Linked DNA regions of Arabidopsis thaliana. The protein of the gene in region 3 purifies or fractionates together with the protein of the main gene of each other region. This does not show direct contact. Each region holds a gene or a part of one and is shown on either strand. Other genes may lie near its edges. The genes, in order: AT2G25355, CER7 and RRP41.

The links.
Region 1: the proteins of RRP41 (region 3) and AT2G25355 purify together in Arabidopsis thaliana (affinity purification with mass spectrometry; 2 studies listed by BioGRID, with this or other methods). This does not show direct contact.
Region 2: the proteins of RRP41 (region 3) and CER7 purify together in Arabidopsis thaliana (affinity purification with mass spectrometry; 2 studies listed by BioGRID, with this or other methods). This does not show direct contact.

The regions. Positions count from the first base shown.
Region 1 is NC_003071.7:10,798,962-10,802,714, forward strand, and holds the start of AT2G25355 (PNAS-3-like protein), read left to right. Parts: upstream 1-2,129; 5' UTR 2,130-2,429; coding exon 2,430-2,480; intron 2,481-2,572; coding exon 2,573-2,647; intron 2,648-2,888; coding exon 2,889-2,975; intron 2,976-3,171; coding exon 3,172-3,228; intron 3,229-3,572; coding exon 3,573-3,665; intron 3,666-3,753. Other genes in the region: AT2G25350 (Phox (PX) domain-containing protein), read left to right, coding at 1-627, 745-909, 1,030-1,272, 1,396-1,737.
Region 2 is NC_003074.8:22,351,771-22,355,523, reverse strand, and holds the start of CER7 (3'-5'-exoribonuclease family protein), read right to left. Parts: upstream 1,625-3,753; 5' UTR 1,408-1,624; intron 1,300-1,407; exon of another isoform or gene 1,283-1,299; 5' UTR 1,280-1,282; coding exon 1,143-1,279; intron 919-1,142; coding exon 709-918; intron 612-708; coding exon 516-611; intron 426-515; coding exon 311-425; intron 207-310; coding exon 126-206; intron 36-125; coding exon 1-35. UniProt on the Arabidopsis thaliana protein: Probable 3'->5' exoribonuclease involved in the regulation of cuticular wax biosynthesis by controlling the expression of CER3. May act by degrading a specific mRNA species encoding a negative regulator of CER3 transcription.
Region 3 is NC_003074.8:22,802,306-22,806,058, forward strand, and holds the start of RRP41 (3'-5'-exoribonuclease family protein), read right to left. Parts: upstream 1,800-3,753; 5' UTR 1,530-1,799; intron 888-1,529; exon of another isoform or gene 776-887; 5' UTR 717-775; intron 617-716; 5' UTR 606-616; coding exon 552-605; intron 463-551; coding exon 416-462; intron 324-415; coding exon 263-323; intron 171-262; coding exon 129-170; intron 50-128; coding exon 1-49. Other genes in the region: CRF6 (cytokinin response factor 6), read left to right, coding at 2,969-3,753. UniProt on the Arabidopsis thaliana protein: Non-catalytic component of the RNA exosome complex which has 3'->5' exoribonuclease activity and participates in a multitude of cellular RNA processing, maturation and degradation events.

The DNA.
Region 1 (3,753 bases), on a different chromosome or scaffold from region 3:
GAAACATCTGAGCTCGGATCAGCAAGTTTAGGTCAGGATGATGTTTCTGAAACTGATACTGGAGATCTAACTTTGGATGAAGATCTGACAAATCCAACAGAGAAGCTTGTAAAGTTTAGCATGTCCAACATTGACGAGGGACTGAGTATGAGTCAAACTATTATCGAGCAGCTAGAAGATTTTCCTAAGCACAGAGTCCATTTAGGATATGCCAATGATATCACAGAGACGAATTCGTACAATGGAAAAGCTTCTAAAGGTGTATTTCGAGCAAACAACGACTTACGGTGTCGCTCTGAATCAGAAACTAGTCACTCAGTGATGCATGATCGAAAGCTTTCTCTTGAGAGCGCTGACGGGGTTTCGTTACTAGCCGGTGAGACATCAACCTCTAGTATCTTGAGCTCCATTGTACATAGCCAGCTGGATGTTAATCATGATATATCTGTTGGTAACCTGGAGATACCGGGTAATGGACGAATAGTTCTCCCGCTGAAAATGCATAGTAAATTAAATAGGATTCTATTAACTATGAATGAGAGACTTCTCAATTCAAAAACAGACATGGAGGATCTTATAGCGAGACTAAATCAAGAGACAGCGGTGAAGGAATATCTGAACAGAAAGGTACATGATTGAAAATAATAGTACATCTGTTTTCAAGTTTGTTGGTAATGAAATCTGCGCTTCTTCCTTTACTCTTCATGCGAATGTCATATATGTAATCTTGGTTTTCCTGTTCAGGTTGATGATCTGGAAGTGGAACTTGAAACTACTAAACAGAGAAACAAAGAGAATTTGGAGCAAGCTTTGATGACCGAGAGACAGAGTGTTACCAAGATGCAGTGGGATATGGAAGAACTCAGGCAAAAAACTTTTGAGATGGAACTGAAGTTAAAGTCAAAAGAGGTATTGAAATTTGAAATAGTTCCATCTCAATCACATTCTTTCCACAATTAAGCAAGTTCACATCGAGCGAGTAATTTATATCTAGCAAAGTAACTTACTGACACCTGCAAACTAATACAGGATGGGAGTTCAGATTCTAAGACGTCAGGAAACTCAACAATCTCTGAGAGCCATGAGCTGTTACAAGAAATGGATGCCACAAAACAGCAACTGGAAGATCTTTCTAGACGGTATGTTGAACTGGAGGCAAAATCAAAGGCAGACATAAAAGTGCTTGTCAGAGAGGTCAAATCCCTGAGACGTTCACATATGGAAATGGAAAAGGAACTGACTCGATCGCTGACAGAGAAGTCTGACACTGAGGTAAATCTTAAGCTTGTAAATAAAAAGCATTATATTATTGCTTGCATCATCCGCTTGTGGTAAATGTATATGATCCTACAGAAAGAACATCAAAACATACTGAAACATGTTTAATTTTTTCAGAAACTCCTCCAACAGGAAAGGATAATAGTCGAGAACACGCTAGAAGCAAGAAGAAGGCTGTATAGTGACTGTGAAATTCTCCACGACAGGCTTAAAGTGAACAACACAAACTTGTCAATGGATGAGTCCAGTAACAACAGAGAAGACTTATCTGAAGTATCAAATGCCTTGCAAGATCAGATTGAGGTAAGCTATTGGTGCATCTCCTTTAATATCTGTAGCAAGAAAAATCGTATTCAAATGTTTACATTCGATAACCATGGCTCAAAATCGCCAAGCTGGATTCCTCGTTTTAAATTTGAAAGTGGCATATTTTCAGGCGCAACTGCTGTTAGGGTTTGATGAGACTGCTTCTGAGGATGAGCTGAGGAAGATAATGGCAGATATGTATGAGGACTGAGGAGAATATCAAATTGAGAAAACATTTGAATTCCGCAATGCAGGTTAAGAGCTCTGTGAAAGAGGAAAACGAAAAACGCAGAAGGTGAAGAGCTTATAGAATAGATATACCATGTACAGAGAAAAGTAGAGCAGAAAGTTGGTTAGTGACGTAAATCCCTTATTTTGAATATGCGAGTCAGATTCTTCTTTATGTAATTAATTGATGTATATGCACACACATGTCTACATCAGATCACCTAATCCATTGTAAAATTCGAAACCATCAGTGTCATTGTTTCTTGTTCACCAAAAACAACTACCATCCATCACTCATGGTCCACAGAGCAGTCGTTGAAAATCAGTGAAAGAAGTGTCATTTTGTCCCAAAAAAAAAGGAAGGACGAAGGAGACTTTTTAGTTGACCAAATCATATGGATCTACTAAACCGAAATAAACCACTCATAACCATTATAGTAAATTACTTGGTTCGGAGTTTTTAATTTCCGATCGTCTTCAACATCACCAAAGCAAAAAACTTTAGGGTTTTAGTGTTTTTTAGGGTTCTTCTTTCTCTCTACCTCTCAGTTCTGCTTTTGCTCTGTCTCCCTTCATTGGATAAATCAATTGGTGTTGTTAGCGAAGAAATAAGAAAGATGGGTACTGAAGTTTCTACCTCGCCGACAAGCCTCATTGATCAGACTGTTGTGCGTATTTTCTACTAAAACCTCTGCTTCTTTGATTATCGTTTTAGATTGGGATTACATTGAAAGATTAAGTTTTGTGAGATGGGTTTCAGGTTCCAGGTGATGTTGTTCTCGATTTATCAAACATGACTAACCAAACAATCAAACTCGGCAGTGGTCTCCGTCAGGTTTTTAACTTTCTCAAAATCACTTGTTCCAAATCTTCGATCATTTTTTTGGAGTTTGAAATTTGTTGTGTTGAGTGTATGAATGAATTAATGAATGTTTTGCTCATTATTAAACAAGTTATGTTGAATTTTGGATCTTGCATTGGCATTTGAGGAATAAACTTAATTTGGAATCTACAGTTTGCTTTTTGTTGGGCTTGCAAGGCTAGAAGATTGACATATGATTTTGAGGTTTTTTCAGGATAATGAGGTGATATCTGTTATGAGAGCTGGGAAGTTGAGGTACTCTAAGCCAAATAAGTATTGGGTGGAAAGTTCTCATAAAAGGGTGAGAACTAATTAGTTTCTTGCTGGTTGTATTTTGCAATAAATTGGTACCTTTTTCCTGATATCTCCTAGCTCTACTAGTTATTCGATTGTTCATCTGCGCTTAACTTGTCGAAAAAGTGGTGGTTTTGCTCTCTAGTTTGAAGAATTACTCCATGTTACTCGATTTTGACTCTGTTATTATGTTTTTTTTGCAGTATGTACCTCGTCCTGAGGATCATGTTCTTGGCATTGTGGTAGATTGTAAAGGAGAAGTAAGTACTCTAAAGACGATCCTTAAATTTTTGTTAGAGATCCTTTTCCCTTGGACCCTCTGAATCAAGCATTTTTTCTCTGTATACAGTTCATTTAATGCAAAAATCATGTATAAAGAATATTGATTTCGGTTGTGCTCTATCATTATCCAACTTCTATCATTGCTCAGCTTGTTTGTTAGTTACATGTATATGTTAATAAATACTTGAGATCATGGATAAAGAAAACGGCATAAGCCTTTATTTAGAGTGTTGCCCCTAGAGTTCTCAGCCAAAGTCATGTTGCATGTAACAAAGTAGATCATAATATTTTGAAAATCGTTTTGACACATGTTTCATTGCAGAACTATTGGATAGACATTAAAGGACCACAATTGGCTCTTTTGCCTGTGCTTGCATTTGAAGGAGCAAACAGAAGAAATTATCCCAAGTTTGAGGCAAGTACCTTCTGAATATACTTCTTCAATCTGAACCATCATCAAAATAGTCTCTAGCTGGTAACTGCATTCAGTTGTTTGAGATGTT
Region 2 (3,753 bases), 450 kb from region 3:
ATAACTGCTTCTTCAACATAAGTTGGGTCCATCACCTGCATATAACAACACATCACACTTTATATCTCAGAAAAGAAAAAAGAAAAAGCAAACTAGACTCTCACTAAAAATACAACTGTTTTTACCACAATGTTGCCTTTATTAAAAAATCCAAACGTGAAGGCTATTGGGAGATGATGTATTATCAATGGAAGTGGTTCCCTTTCCTGCAAAAGAAAGTAAAGATAGAACAAACAGTTAAAGTTAAGAACTGTCTTCTCCACTTAACAAATTCTTACAAGTTTCTCTAAACCGAAAACATATGACTAACCTCTAGTGGATGTATGATCACTTCTTGACCATTCTCTCCTCCTACAGTGCAGTCGGGTCTCCTAAATGTCATGAGAGCTGCTAAAGCAGCAATATTTGCAGCATCAACTAAGTTCCTATACATAAATGTGTAACAAAAACACGCATTAAAGATCATTTTAAAACCAGAACCTTCAATGAGATATACTGTAGCCAACAAAACTTACCCTCCATTGTCCAAGATATGAAGGTCAATGCGAACAGACCAAACCATCTTTCCAGCTAGAACGCAGAGTGACTCTGTATCTACTGCACGGCTTTCTCTGCAATCAACACAAAGACCAACTTACCATTACTCCAACCAGAACAGCCAGCAATACTCTTGCAGCATCAACAAAGTTTGTCCAAAAAAACATTTACCTTAGACCACGATCGATAATGCGTCCCAACTCCACTGCAGATTCGCCAGGACGACCAGGCTCAAAAGACGGATCAGCCATTGGAGAAAATTCCGTGAAGATCGAGAGAGACCCTTCATTAGGTCTGTCTTTGTAAGGTTGTACCAACTGAGCAGTCACGAAACCCATTACATGAGTCTGACCAAGTTGAACTTCCGAGCTACCATATTCTCTGTTAATTCAAACGAGATTAAAAGCTGTCTTTGGTTACAAACACTAAAAGAAAAGCATGCTAGTATTCGTTCTAACAGAGGTAATAGACTGAACAAAGTTATCTACATTCAAATTTATCACAAAACTCGACAAAGAGGGAAGCTTTAGAGCTAAAGAAAGCAAACAAAGCCTACAAAGTGCAGAAAAGAAACGGCATCAATAAGCAGTTCTATGAGCACTTACTTGCCAAACTTAATAGTAAGCTTGCGATAATCATAAAGGCCACGACCATCTACTCTGAGCTCAGATTGCAACGCAGTTTCCACGAATTTACTTTCGTTAACAGTCAACCTCCACATATTAGCCAATCTCCCCTCCATTATCTGCTATCACTAGTAAACTAAAAATCAAAACTTTGAGCAACCCTTACAGCAAATCAAACACTCTAATCGATAGAAAACCTTCTCTTAGGCTTAGAATCAACTCTGTAAATTAAACCAAAACGTACCTACTGGAGAAAAGAGATGAGAAGAGACACTTGGACTTTCTTCTTTCTTTTATTGTACTTCACCTCCGGCTAACTACGAAGGAGCTCCAAAGATTTTAGGGAGAGGCGGCAAAATCGCACAGATGTTTTTTTCTATCTATCTCTCGGCCTTAACAACAGTAAATGTAAACACGGCGGCGATTCAGAGAAAGCTTGGTGATGGGAAAACACAGGTTTCGGAAAAATTCGAGAGGGTGAATAACTAAAAACGCTGTCGTTCTGGATCAACAAACACCGGCGTCGTTTCAGCTGTTACCGACGTCGTTTCATATATTATTTGTTATTTGACAAAAAAAATTATAATGGATATAAGCCCATGGGCTTACAGACATTATCTTGATGCTTTTTGGGCTACTAACTTCAAAGGGAAAAACGTCAATGAGTTTTTTATTTTATCTTTTTGGTGTAAATGTTAAGAAAGTCAATGAGTAGTATGTTGAACTTTTTAATATCTCAGCAATTGTTGTTTCAGCTTGGAAAGATTAACTTTGACGCACATGTTTGCTTACTTACTGATAAATTGTATTTTAGATTTAGAATATTCAACAAGCCAGTACAGTTTTCAGAATCTTTCCCACAAAATCCTCAAGAATTGAAGATCATGCATGTACACTTACTAGATTTGTATTGCTTGTACGTATTTTATCCTACTTGTTCCAGCAGCACCACTCAAATATATCGTTTTCTGTACTTTCTTCAACATTTGGACTAATTAAGACTTTAAACGATTATTTATTAACAATGAGAGAATTTTGAGCAAGCTTTCAATCCTTCGATCTCTATTTCAAGAATCATCAGCTATTTAAAGTCTTCAACGAGAACTATATTTCTAAAGAAACTATCAAGCGTAAAAGTCTGTTATGAGCAGCCAAAAAAAGTTTACAGATTCCGCGAGATGCCTTGCCTCTTGTGGATCTTTTCGTCACCATGTCTTGGTTTAAGTCACTTAATTAGTGTCTCTTCTTAAGTTCCGTCCTCTTTCCTAAACTTGGAACCACATCGAATTCTTTAAAAAGAGAAAAGAAAAAAAAAACTGCTTATTTGGTAAGGGTCAAGAAGATATGGTTGTATCTTTATGATCATCTTAATTTGGATTGTTTACTATTACTTAATTATGAACAAGAAACATGTTGGGATGAATCTAGAAACTGATAGAACCATGTTTATGTTTGCTTCACGCACACACAAACTACATCATGTAGTCTACATGAACGAGCCGGAGACAGCTTAAATCTTTGATATTGTTTGCCCAATTTTTTTTTAAATTTTGAAATTACATTATAAGTAACTCTCTTAACTTATTTGAATGAAATTAGTTAAGGTTTACTTTCATTATTTCCGATTGGTTTTCAATTGTACGTTTCGCTAATTTTGGTATAACAATTTCAGCTTTCCCCACATGCTCTCCAAATTTCCTTCTTCTTTTTTTCATTTCTTTTGATTGAGATGTAAGAAAAAATGTTTAGTAAGAGTGAACAATATGAATCTCCATTGTTTTCTTCTTCTGCTGTTGCTTTCATTTTTCTTCTTTCTGTTTGCTTATTTTTTCTTTTCCCCCACTTTATTCCAAAGATAAAGATCGCATGTTTTAATATATATATATATATATATATATATACACTTTTATTTTAATTATGTTTTATTTGATAAATTAATTATGTGTACAATTATACTTGGACTAGTCTATGTGCATAATGGAAGGCGCCAAAAGAAGAATTCAGCTCCTTGTAATTTGTAAGCTTTTAATTTATAGTATTGTCCAAAGTCTAAAGGTATTCGTGTGGAAACGGATATGGATATTGTAATGTATCAGCAATAATCATAATCATTTCCCCCAAAAATGAAAAAAAAAATACAAAAGATTAGGTAAGTGTGGGAGCTAAGTATATTACTCACGGCTGAGGAACCCATTATAAAAAAGGATATATATCTATTAATTACTTAGATAAGAATAGTATAAAAAGATTGGCTGCTATCAAGTAGATACTCATGCCACCACTAAACCAATGAAAAAAAGAAGACTCTTTATGTCTTCCTGTTAATTTCTATGGAGGCTCACACACACACACATTCAATTCAAATCCTAACATCATGAGAATATAGAATAAGTACACACTAATTGCTCGGCATGTTTAATAATACATGTACGTAAAACTAATGTGATAGTGAGCTCACTACCACATCCACTATCTTTATATGTTTTTTTTAAATCAGTGGCCTCAGTCGTAATTCATGAGTCTACTTAACTACACACACAAGAAAAAAAACATTCATAAAGTCAACCAAAAGAATGTACATGTATTGCCT
Region 3 (3,753 bases):
TTCTACGATCACCAGTACTAAACTGAGCCATACTATACTCACACAACACCTACCAAAACATACAATTAGCAATAAGCATTCCATATTCACCAAGAACAATACTAAACAAGATCAAAGCATATACATACCACTGCATGGTCGTTCTTCTTTTGCTGGCTCTTGTTTTGAATCTGAAGGAGCACATTAACAGAAATAACCAATTCGCTGAATTATACAATTAAAGTATCAATCTTGATAGGTGAGTAACAGAGTAATCAAGTACCTCTCTTGGACCATAAACAGCTGCAATTACTTTGGTATTACCCATCTCGAAGACAGCAGAACTGGAAACAAAGTTGGAATTTTTGTTCATATAAAAGTGCCGAATATAGAACTGAGATACGGAAAAAGATAAGAGACAGATTTTGAGTTTTACCCGTCAGCCTTAGAAACAACTCCAACTTCAGCTACGATTTGCCTCATCTGAGATTCATTACAAGCAATCACGAATAGACCGATTAACTTGTGAAGGCAGTGGCTTACAAAGACAGTGAATAGAGATGCAAACATACCTCGTTGAATCGGCGACCATCTAATCGAAGACCTTCAGGGTTTACGTACTCCATTGTTGTGAACTCTAGGTAGAGATAATCAAGGATGAGAGCAATGAAAGACAGAAACAGAACAAGTTTAATACTTTCTGATCCCACAGAACAGGGAACAAGAGACGAATTTACCTCTGCCAGTACTTTAGCGGCGGCGATATGACGGAGGGCGATGGACGGCGTCGAGAGAACTGAAAGAGTGTCGACAACATAAAGATTAGGGCTTTTTGGTTCCTTTTTGTGAATTAAGTGAGATTTTAAGGGTAAAACCGTCAAATCACAGGAGGATTTTTTTTTATAACTTCTAGTTTATGAAGCCAGGCAAATTGGTAATTCGCTTGCAAAGAAAAGTAAAGCTCAAAATTGCGGGAACATGCATGCAATAAGAGAATTAAGAGTGAGATCCCTTCAAAAGTATAGCTCAAATTGTTGTTGTTTTCTTTTATCAAGGCTTTTCTTGTTGACTCTGTTATTTCAAGTATGTATTAGTAATAGTAATATAGTATCTAGATCAATTTCTAAGTCAATAGTATATTGATAGTAGTATCAACGTGTCGGGAGTTACGTGTGGCAATGCCGACAAATGAATGCAAAGTGAGGTATATGAAAATGACGGGTTCCTGACGGAGGAGATGATGGAATTATTTACTAAGGTTTGCTAACATCTTCTTTTTTTATGTATGTATGTTTGGATCAAAAAGTATACAAAACCATATTAGACAATTTAAGAGAGACCACTCTCTAGTCTCTACCTAGTAAAAGTAGTACCTACTACGACTATCCTAACGAATGTCATGCAATTTAATGTTCCATATACAATTTTTTTTTTTTTAATATATTAAAAACAACCCAATAGGGCATGGGCTAAGACCCAATACACAGATGAAATCCAGTTACAAAATAGGTTAAACAGAAAAAGTCACCGACAAACAAAGAGGTTCGAACCTTGCTGCTGGTCGGAAGCAGAGTGGTCGGAGCCTTATATCTGGCGGACTCAAGCATCACAGCTTTGCGGCCGCAGACGACGGATCGAGAAACGCAGCTGGAAGATTCCGGTTTCCATCTGCACCTATCTCCGCCGTCGCACCAACCCACCACAACTCTCCCAGAAAGCTAACCACTCCGACTTACCGGTTCCGCGATATCTGTTCCATGCCAAGCAACCCGATACACTAGAGTTTAACCCCTCTCCGACTTAATGTTCCATATACATACTACTAACTATTATTAAATCAAACTGACTGTTATTTTTAAGGTCTAACTTTTAACACGAGTACCTGACTAATCCCACGTAAAAAAAAAGTCTTGAAATCACATGTATCTTTTTATAAAATCACAGGTGAATTCGTGTAAGTTATATAAGGTTCAAAATAAAACAATATAGAATTACTGTAAGTTACAAGATTTGGTATATTAACTTGTAGAATTATCGATATAATAAAAGCTTATTTTTCAATTATTATTTTAGGACCAAATCTAGTCAAAGCTCAACCATTAACTATGGAAATCTAATTTCTAGTTACCTTTTTAATAGTAGCTTTTTCTAATAAAGTTTCTGATAAGAGACTTGGTCTCCAAGCAAAAGATCATAAATTTTTTCCGAAATTAAAAATATATTTTAATATTAAAGACGAGATTTTATTACTCTTTCAAACACATCGTTAGATTCATTACCATTAAACTTCACAATTTCCATATTGGGTCAATGCGAATTGACACATACTCGTGACCAATCTCACACGCGTGGAGCCCACTAGCCGGCGCGTGTAGCAAACGTAAAACAGACCGCGCGTAAAAGAGTTAAAAGTTGCTTGGAGACCAAGCTATAGATTAGGACAATTGGCTCTACTTTCGGTACGGTAACTACCACGTGTCATAAATCTAACGTCTCAATCTGAGATGCGGAAAGCCGTTTCTGGATCCCCCATTGGCCGCCACGAAACCGCCCTTAAGCATCGTCCCTCTTTACATTAAATCCAAATCTAATTCCCGGTTTATAAACTCCATTAACCGGATTAAATTTCAATAGGTTAAGCTTTGATAAACGTATGTCATTTCACCAACTATATTTTAAGATACGTTTAGTTATAAGGTTGAATGAGTTTTGATTGGGTCAGTGTCTCATATCATATGAATAGTGTTGAACACGCATCAATTTCTCTGTAACAGTTAAAATCTAATTAAATTAATTACATAGAAAAAATCACGTTACTAAACAAAAATCTCCAAAAATAGTGATGAGTTAATAGTATTTAAGAAGGATGTTCCTGAGAAACGGCGATTCTTCTTTAACCTTTTGACTCTTCTTCTCTCTCTCTCTGCAAATTCAAAACAGTGAAAAAAACCTCTCTTCATTTTTTAACTCCCTCTCTCTCTCTCTCTCTATGGAGAGACGAACGAGACGAGTGAAGTTCACAGAGAATCGTACGGTCACAAACGTAGCAGCTACACCATCTAACGGGTCTCCGAGACTGGTCCGTATCACTGTTACTGATCCTTTCGCTACTGACTCGTCTAGCGACGACGACGACAACAACAACGTCACGGTGGTTCCAAGAGTGAAACGATACGTGAAGGAGATTAGATTCTGCCAAGGTGAATCTTCTTCCTCCACCGCGGCGAGGAAAGGTAAGCACAAGGAGGAGGAAAGCGTAGTGGTTGAAGATGACGTGTCGACGTCGGTGAAGCCTAAAAAGTACAGAGGCGTGAGACAGAGACCTTGGGGAAAATTCGCGGCGGAGATTAGAGATCCGTCGAGCCGTACTCGGATTTGGCTTGGGACTTTTGTCACGGCGGAGGAAGCTGCTATAGCGTACGATAGAGCCGCGATTCATCTCAAAGGACCTAAAGCGCTCACGAATTTCCTAACTCCGCCGACGCCAACGCCGGTTATCGATCTCCAAACGGTTTCCGCCTGCGATTACGGTAGAGATTCTCGGCAGAGCCTTCATTCACCGACCTCTGTTCTAAGATTCAACGTCAACGAGGAAACAGAGCATGAGATTGAAGCGATCGAGCTATCTCCGGAGAGAAAGTCGACGGTTATAAAAGAAGAAGAAGAATCGTCGGCGGGTTTGGTGTTCCCGGATCCGTATCTGTTACCGGATTTATCTCTCGCCGGCGAATGTTTTTGGGATACCGAAATTGCCCCTGACCTTTTGTTTCTCGA